Linked DNA regions of Callithrix jacchus. The protein of the gene in region 1 binds, or shares a complex with, the protein of each later gene. Links are inferred from orthologs where the notes say so. Each region holds a gene or a part of one and is shown on either strand. Other genes may lie near its edges.

Region 1 (3,809 bases):
AGCAGAGATCATGTCACTATACTCCTGCCTGGGTGACAGAGCAAGACTCTGTCTCAAAAAAAAAAAAAAACCAACCAAGGCCAGGCGCGGTGGCTCAAGCCTGTAATCCCAGCACTTTGGGAGGCCGAGGCGGGTGGATCACGCGGTCAAGAGATTGAGACCATCCTGGTCAACATGGTGAAACCTTGTCTCTACTAAAAATACAAAAAATTAGCTGGGCACGATGGCATGTGCCTGTAATCCCAGTTACTCAGGAGGCTGAGGCAGGAGAATTGCCTGAACCCAGGAGGCAGAGGTTGTGGTGAGCCGAGATCACGCCATTGCACTCCAGCCTGGGTAACAAGAGCAAAACTCCGTCTCAAACAAACAAACAAACAAACAAAAAACCCAACCAAACAAAAAAAATACAAACCAAACCAAAATGATAAGTAAAAACAAGGTTACTGAAGATATAGATGCAATTTTATCAATGTTAAGTCATGTAGAACATAAAATAAGGATTGGATGAGGTATAGAATATAAACTATTGATTTATTAAAATAGTAAGAGGCAATTTTGTTCTTATTTTTAGTATTTTACGGTAATTCACTGAATAATTACTTCTTTGTTAATGTCATTTTTTTTTCTTGAGACAGTGTCACTCTGTCACCCAGGCTGGAGTGCAGTAGCACAATCTCTGTTCACTGTAGCCTCAAGCTCCCTGGGCTCAGGTAGTCCTCCCACCTCAGCCTCCTGAATAGCTTGGGGTACAGGTGTGCACCATCAAGTCTGGTTAGTTTTTAAATTTTTTGTAGAGACGAGGTCTGACTATGTTGCCCAGGCTTGTCCTGAATCCCTGGGCTCAAGCAATCCTCCTGCCTTGGCTTCCCAAAGTGCCTAGATTACAGGCATGAACAACCATGTCTGGCCAACGTCAAGATGAGAGGTACAGCTAGCAAGAAAACAATAAAACACAGAGACTGATATAAAAAAACACTCTTCAACCACAGCAAACTCAGGGCCTGGTTTTCTAGCTATAATCCATCTCTCCACAGACTGTTCATTTTGGGCTCTGCCATACACACCCACCTCAGCTAGCTTGTTGAAGCCCTGTGAGTGGCCTTCCTGCCGCTCCACCTGGCACTTCTTGGCATAGCGACGGTTCCCATCCATTATGAATGCAATGTGTTTTGGCACTGGGCCTGCCTGTGGAATATGAAGACAAATGATGAACAGGTCTCATATTCTTCAGGGATAAAGGAAGACACTACATCCCAAGGTGACAGGTTTGGGCTATGTGATGAAAGCCCTGACGAAGGAAATTGGGTACTTTGTGCTTTGAGCTCAGTAAAAAGATATTAAAGTTTACTTATTTATTTATTTATTTTGAGGCAGCACTCAGTCACCCAGACTATAGCCTTGGCCTCCTGGGATCAAGTGATCCTCCCACCTCTGCCTCCTGCTGAGTAGCCAGGATTACCAGCACAGGCCACCACACACCTACTGAGCCTTTTTTCTTTTTTAAGAGATGGGGTCAGCTGGGCATGGTGGCTCAGGCCTGTAATCCCAGCACTTTGGGAGGCCAAGGTGGGTGGATCATGGGTCAGGATATCGAGACCATTCTGGCTAACATGGTAAAACCCTGTCTCTACTAAAATTACAAAAATTAGCCAGGCATGGTAGTGTGTGTCTATAGTCCTAGCTACTCAGGAGGCTGAGGGAGGAGAATCGATTAAACCCCAGAGGCAGAGGTTGCAGTGAGCCAAGATTGCGCCACACTGCACTCCAACCTCTCCAGCCTCGGTGACAGAGCGAGATTCTGTCTCAAAAAAAAAAAAAAGAGAGATGGGATCTCCCTATGTTGCCCAAGTCTCGAACTCCTGGGCTCAAGCAATACTCTTTATCAGTCTCCCATAGTGCTGGGATTACAGGCATGAGCCACCACAACTGGCCTATTTATTTTTATTTACATGTTTACTGAGCACTTACTACATGCCAAATACTATGCTGGGCTTCTTTTTTTTTTTTTGGGACGGAGGTTCACTCTTGTTACCCAGGCCGGAGTGCAACGTCGCGATCTCGGCTCACCGCAACCTCCGTCTCCTTGGTTCAAGCAATTTTCCTGCCTCAGCCTCCCGAGTAGCTGGGACTACAGGTGCGTGCCACCATGCCCAGCTAATTTTTTTATTTTTAGTAGAGACGGGGTTTCACCTTGTTGACTGGGATGGTCTCGATCTCTTGACCTCGTGATCCACCCGCCTCGGCCTCCCAAAGTGCTGGGATTATAGGCGTGAGCCACCGCACCTGGCCTATGCTGGGCTTCTTATACTTCATCTTATACAGGTCTATATCATACAGGTCTATAAAGCAAATAGTATTATCTTCATTTTACAGGTGGAAAAACAGGCTCAGAGAGTTTTAGTGACTTGCATTAATCACACAGTTAAGAAGAGGCAAATGGGGATTCAAACTGATGTTGATCTGCTTCCAGAGTTAAACATATGCTCTTAACTACAGGCTTCGTTTAATTAGTCTCCAACTAGGAGCAAAGGGAAAATGATTTTTTTTCTTTCTCCTTGAGACAGGGTCTTACTCTGTTACCCAAGCTGGATGAAGCATGGTGGCATGATCTTGGCTCATTTGCAACCTCCACCTTTTGGAATGAGAAAGATCCTCCCACTTCAATCTCCCAAGTAGTTGGGACTACAGGAATGTATCACACCCAGCTGATTTTTTTATTTTTTGTAGAGACAGGGGTCTCACCATGTTGGCCAGGCTGCTCTTGAACTTCTGGCCTCAAGAGATCCGCTCAACTTGGCCTCCCAAAGTGCTGGGATTACAGGTGTGAGCCATGATGCCTGGCCAGGAAAAATACTGATGGATAGAGTCAAATGAAGATGGTGCCTTCTACAGAAAAAAAGGCACTCATAGGGCTGGGTGCAGTGGCTCATCCCTGTAATCCCAGCACTTTGGGAGGACAAGGCAGGCAGATCACTTGAGGTCAGGAGTTCAGGACCAGCCTGGCAAACAGGTTGAAGCCCTGTCTCTACTAAAAGTGTGAAAATTAGGGCCATGTGTGGGGGCTCACGCCTGTAATCTCAGCACTTAGGGAGACCAAGGAGGGCAGATCACGAGGTCAGGAGTTTGACACCAGCCTGGCGAAGATGGTGAAACCCTATCTCTACTAAAAATATAAAAATTAGACAGGCGTGGTGGCGGATTCCTGCAATCCCAACTACCTGGGAAGCTGAGGCAGGAGAACTGCTTGAACCTGGAAGGCAGAGGTTGCAGTGAGCCGAGATCAGGCCACTGCACTCCAGCCTGGGTGACAGAGCAAGACTCCATCTCAAACAAAACAAAACAAAACACACACACACAAATTAGCCGGGAGTGGTGGTGGGAGCCTGTAATCCCAGCTACTCAGGAGGCTGAGGTAGGAGAATGGCTTAAACCCAGGAGGCAGAGGTTGCAGTGAGCTGAGATCACGCCACTGCACTCCAGCCTGGGCAACAGAGACAAACTCTGTCTCAAAAAAAAAGGCACTCATTCCTGATCTCTAGCCAACTGCTGACACACAGGACCTGGGGTCCAATATTGTTGGATATGCTGATTTTGCCAGAAAACCAAACATCAGGATTTTTATAAAAATTTTGTTTTTTGACGCAAACAGAAGACTTTGTGAGCCAAACAAAACTTACTTGGAGCCAGGCGTGGTGACTGACACCTGTAATCCCAGCACTTTGGGAGGCTAAGGTGGGTAGATTACTTGAGGCCAGGAGTTTGAGACCAGCCTGGCCAACATGGTGAAACCCTGACTCTAGTAAGAATAC
Region 2 (4,586 bases), on another chromosome or scaffold:
ACACACCTGTAGTCCCAGCTACTCAGATAGGCTGAGACAGGAGAATCGTTTGAACCTGGGAAGTGGAGGTTGCAGTGAGCTGAGATTGCACCACTGCACTCCACCCTGGGCAACAGAGCAAAACTCCATCTCAAAAAATAATAGTAATAAAATTAAAAAAAAAAAAGAAACACTGAATAAAGCTTGTCTATACTACCCTTGAGTAATTCTTAGACATCCACATGGCCTATATTTTCAACTCTATATTCAAAGTTATTGAGCCTTTCCTTGGGCTCCCTATTTAAAACTGTGCCCCTTCCTACACGACTGACTTTCAACATTGCTATCTTCCCTTCCCTGCTTTATTGTTCCTTACTGCACTTATATTACCATGTATTTACCTACTTATACTATGTGTCAGACTCCCACTGAAATCTAAGTTCTGTGAGTACACTGCTGCATTCCCATGTCTGGAAGAGTATCTGGTACTTAACAGACCCTAAACGTCACCTGTAAATGAATGCATGAATGAATCAAAACCAAGGATGAACTAATTACAGGTCTCTTAATTCAGGAATGATATCCCCTATTCCTTTAAACAAACAAAAAAACTGCTTTTACAGTTAAGACACAAAAATCCTGTAAGCCCCTTCACAGAAACTGCTCCTTAAGCTGCCTTTCAGTTTTCAGTCAAAACTTGGTTTAGCTTACTTCTTCCTTTTCATTACCAATCATCTTTCTTTCAACAAATATGACAGGATACTTCCGAATCACATCAGCAATTTAAACACAGGAATTGCCGAAACAAGGAAACTAGTATAGTCTGTACTAGCAGGCATGGTCCCCAAGTCAAACAATTTAGCTATAAATTTTCCTTCCCTACTAGAAGATAAAGGTACTTGCTTTACAAGAATCACTTGGCTATACATCAATCCACCACATTGCTTAATGTCTTTGATGTCCACTTTTGCTTCACTTATTTTTTTCGCCAGACAATACTGGCTGCATTGGTTTAGGCATGGATTGTGTCACGTTCTAAAGTCTCATATTTCTACTGGTCTGCTGAGTTCTTTAGCAAGTTCCATAAAATGTCAGTCCCAGAATATAGCAAACTTTGCCCTATAGGGCAAATCATCATTTGGTGATGACAGGCTACTGAGTCATCATTTTCCGTGCAGGCTGCAGGAAAGTTTATAGGGCAATCCGAACTCACCCTGTAAGAGTTACTGTCTGACCTACATCTTCCCTTTCTGACAAAACCCTGGACTTAAATTTACCTATCCGGCAAAGATTTATGCATCTTTAGACCACACACGTAATTTATTGAATAGAAAATAAAACTTTCCTTATCTTTCCTTCATACCAATACTCCTAAATCATTCTTATCACATCTTTATCTTTAAAGAAATTCCAGTGCTTTCAAGATTTGATTGAAACCCAAAACTGACATCCTACCTATTCTTCAAGGTCCTGTTTAAATCCCACCTCCACTGCATGAACTTCTCAAGTGCCTCCATTCACAATTTCTCTCTTCTCTTAGCACAATAGTAATTTTACTCTCAACACTTTGACATGGTTATTAACCATGTGCCTACCTCCTGACAAGCCCGAGAGTCCATGGAATTAAATGCAAGATTCCAAGGAGTATGCGTAGCACAATGCTTTAGGTTTGTAGCTACCCAATAAGTACTGAATTTCTGTACCTACAAAAACTCCCTATGGTGAAATTCATTCTCTCAATCAAAACGTATGAAAGGACAATTATATCAAGTACTGTGTTGGGCACTGATGATCAAGGATCACAAACCATCCCAGGCTTCCAAGATAGAAAAGGACCATTTTTCTTTTCTGCCTATCCAGTCTCTCACATACTTTTCATAAACCCAGTTCAAATACCTGCTAATCCCAACCGCTCCCATTTGGAGTACCTATCACACAGCCCCTGCCTAAGTCCTCTAGAGCCTGACTGCGACTTAAAAACAGCGCCTGGAACCTCTCTTAAAGAAACACTGTGCTGTAACCAAAGGCAAAGACTGTGAAAAAGCACAGACTGGCTAAAATTCCAATATCCCCATTACGATCTTTGTGGCCTTTGGCAAATTAATTAACGTTTTTAAACCTTGGCTCCCTCTTGGGAAACACAGGTATACAAATACCATCTATATTACTGCGGTATAATAACAAATAAGGGATATTTGTAAAATGTTAAAAAGCAACTGAGTCAAATCCAGCGAGTTAGTAGGTGTTCAGTAAAGCTGATCTCCCTTCCTCGAAAGCGCTAGAGCTGTGATTTGCAGAGGGGCCGCGGCAACTCGCCGAACCGTGTGCGGAGCCACCTGGGCACCACCCGCCAGACGAGCGGTTCCAGCGGTCCAAGACGCCTCAACCACCCCCCACCACCGCACCGGGCCTCACCTTGGTGGTCGTAGACGCTAATGTAGGAAATGCCCACGGCCATACACCACACCACGAGGCTTGCGATATCCGAGAAGCTGGGCTCCTGCTCCACCTCGGTGAACACCAGGCCCATGTGCATAGGCAGCTTCTCCAGGGAACGGCCGTCCGCGCGCCAGCGCAGCCGGTGATGGGCAGCGGCCAGGCACGACCCCCCGCGTGGGTGCCTATGGTAACGGCGGTTCCTGCCGATCGCCTGGGACTTGCGGAGCGTGAAGCCGAGTGGCGCTAGGACCGCGGCAGAGACGGCGCGGCAGCAGCGCCGCCAGATCCAGTTCCAGGTGCCGAACCGAACGCGGAGCCAGGAGGTGAGCGTGCGGTGCAGGCAGAACAGCGCGTGCAGCACCCGCCACACCAACTCGTACAGCCCCGTCATACTCTTGTGGCGCTCGGGCACCCTCTCTCCCTCCCGCCCGCTCCCGCGGCGTGACGGCTTTTTATCCGCCCCTGCGGCCGGAGCGGGCCATCTCCCCGCGGCCCCCGCCCCCCACGCCCGAACCCCTTTCCACTGCCAACACCTCACCTCGCCCCCGCCGCCATCTTCCTCCTCCTTTGGCAGCCCCGCCCCCGGTAGTACATGGACAGTTCTGATTGGCCAGCGTGGAACTCTGACGCGTCTTCTGGGTCCGAGGATATGGCCCAGCCCGGCACAGCGAGGGAGGACCCACGCCTGCGAACTAGGCGGGCCGAGACCGCGGGCGCCCCCTGGTCGTGTGGAGGGCGATGAGGGGAAGACGACTTTCTGAGCGGGACGCCAGCAAGGCACACGTGTTCATCCAAGGGATGGGCGCTTCTAGGGACCCGGCATCCTTTGGGTCCAGGGCGTCTTAAACTGTCTGTCCCCTCTCACGGCCCCCACAGAAACAGTTTCATAGGAGTAAAAGTGTCCTAAGTGGACTGGAAATTACAAATGCCGGAAAGAACTTGGGGATGGAAAGCAGCCCTCAGTAAGTGTTGATGCTGGGAATCCACCAGGGCTCCCAAAAGTGTCCTCAAAGGCTGGAATGGTCCTGCTACAGTCCTTTATTCAACCTCCCAGCTAAAGCTGTGAGCAAGGCTCTTCAGCCATGTTCCTGAAACACCCTCTACCCACGTCATTCCCCACTAAGGTATCCTTTCCTGGCTGTCCATTGCTTAGTACATAAAAGAGAGGCTCTACCGCTCCAGTCACTTCACTGTTTTTTTGTTTTGTTTTGTTTTTCATTTATTCGGCAAGACTTTATTAACCAACCCCTGTTAGGTTTAGAGGGGAGAAATATAGACATTGTGACTTCAATCACCGCCACTATTTGATGTAAACTGCCCATCCAAACTTTATCATCCCATTTACACACCCTAACGTTCCTGTCCATCTGGACTTCCAAGTGGTCCTGTAGAATGGTTCTGTACTTCCCTGTGGCAAGTCTGTACTGTCTTTGCCCCTTTTGTTGAAGCTCTTCTCCTGAATTTCTGATTCCCACTTGGGATTCCCCACATTCCAACCCATTTCTCAAGGCTCATCCTACATGCCACATCCTCTATCATCATATATATGTGTGTATGTAATAATAGTTATATTATTTGTATTTATATAAGTATACATGTAAAGATTAGGTAGGCATTACAAAAATGCAGCTGTTTACACATACACATCCACACACGTATACACACATATTTATACATGTGTGTGTAAACAGTTGCATTTTTGTAATGCCTACCTAATACTTGTTCTGTAAAGTCCCCTTTTTCCACTGGAAAGCATTGTTCACATCTTGGCTATATGACTTAATTTTTTTAACATTGTCCCTTTTTCAACTAGTCTCATTTTGTTTTCTAAGACTCATTTAACTTTACTTTAAAAGTTGAATCTCATGTCTATCTCCCTTTGACAGAGCAGCCTGAAGAATTGAGGGCTGGGCACCAGGCACTCCCTTCACACACTTCTGTCTCTCCTGATCTCTGCAGCAACTCCTCTGATGATGGACAAGAAGGAAAGGCGAAAGGGCATGATCAGGAAAATCTACAGTCTTCTTCCTAACTGCCTGTTGCTGCAGATTATGCAGCTACATGGTGCTTGCTAAGGAAGCTCCCTAGACACCAGTGCCCCACTGAGATTTGGCCATGTATTCTGAAGACCCCCACCCCACCGCCCATGCTGACACCTTGCCACATTT

What was found.
Region 2: the proteins of DHDDS (region 1) and NUS1 are in contact, whole or in part, in a crystal structure (PDB 7PAX), measured with the Homo sapiens proteins. The link is inferred for Callithrix jacchus from reciprocal best matches to the Homo sapiens genes DHDDS and NUS1. Residues at the interface, in NP_995583.1 of Homo sapiens: Arg37, Arg38, Glu81, Asn82, Lys84, Arg85, Arg159, His160, Ile162, Ser163, Val166, Arg167, Met169, Ala170, Trp171, Val173, Glu174, Pro180, Ser181, Ile183, Ser184, Glu185, Leu188, His199, Glu209, Val210, Arg211, Leu212, Ser213, Asp214; in NP_612468.1 of Homo sapiens: His137, Gln138, Pro193, Glu194, Lys197, Ala198, Ile200, Val201, Ala204, Gln205, Phe207, Cys208, Gln209, Val211, Ala212, Arg217, Pro218, Thr219, Leu221, Asp222, Val223, Leu226, Asp237, Pro246, Val247, Asp248, Ser249, Thr250, Leu251, Gly252.

Annotation. Positions count from the first base shown.
Region 1 is NC_133508.1:63,081,726-63,085,534, reverse strand, and holds part of DHDDS (dehydrodolichyl diphosphate synthase complex subunit DHDDS), read right to left. Parts: intron 1,186-3,809; coding exon 1,069-1,185; intron 1-1,068. UniProt on the Homo sapiens protein: With NUS1, forms the dehydrodolichyl diphosphate synthase (DDS) complex, an essential component of the dolichol monophosphate (Dol-P) biosynthetic machinery.
Region 2 is NC_133505.1:123,966,246-123,970,831, reverse strand, and holds the start of NUS1 (dehydrodolichyl diphosphate synthase complex subunit NUS1), read right to left. Parts: upstream 2,997-4,586; 5' UTR 2,810-2,996; coding exon 2,395-2,809; intron 1-2,394. UniProt on the Homo sapiens protein: With DHDDS, forms the dehydrodolichyl diphosphate synthase (DDS) complex, an essential component of the dolichol monophosphate (Dol-P) biosynthetic machinery.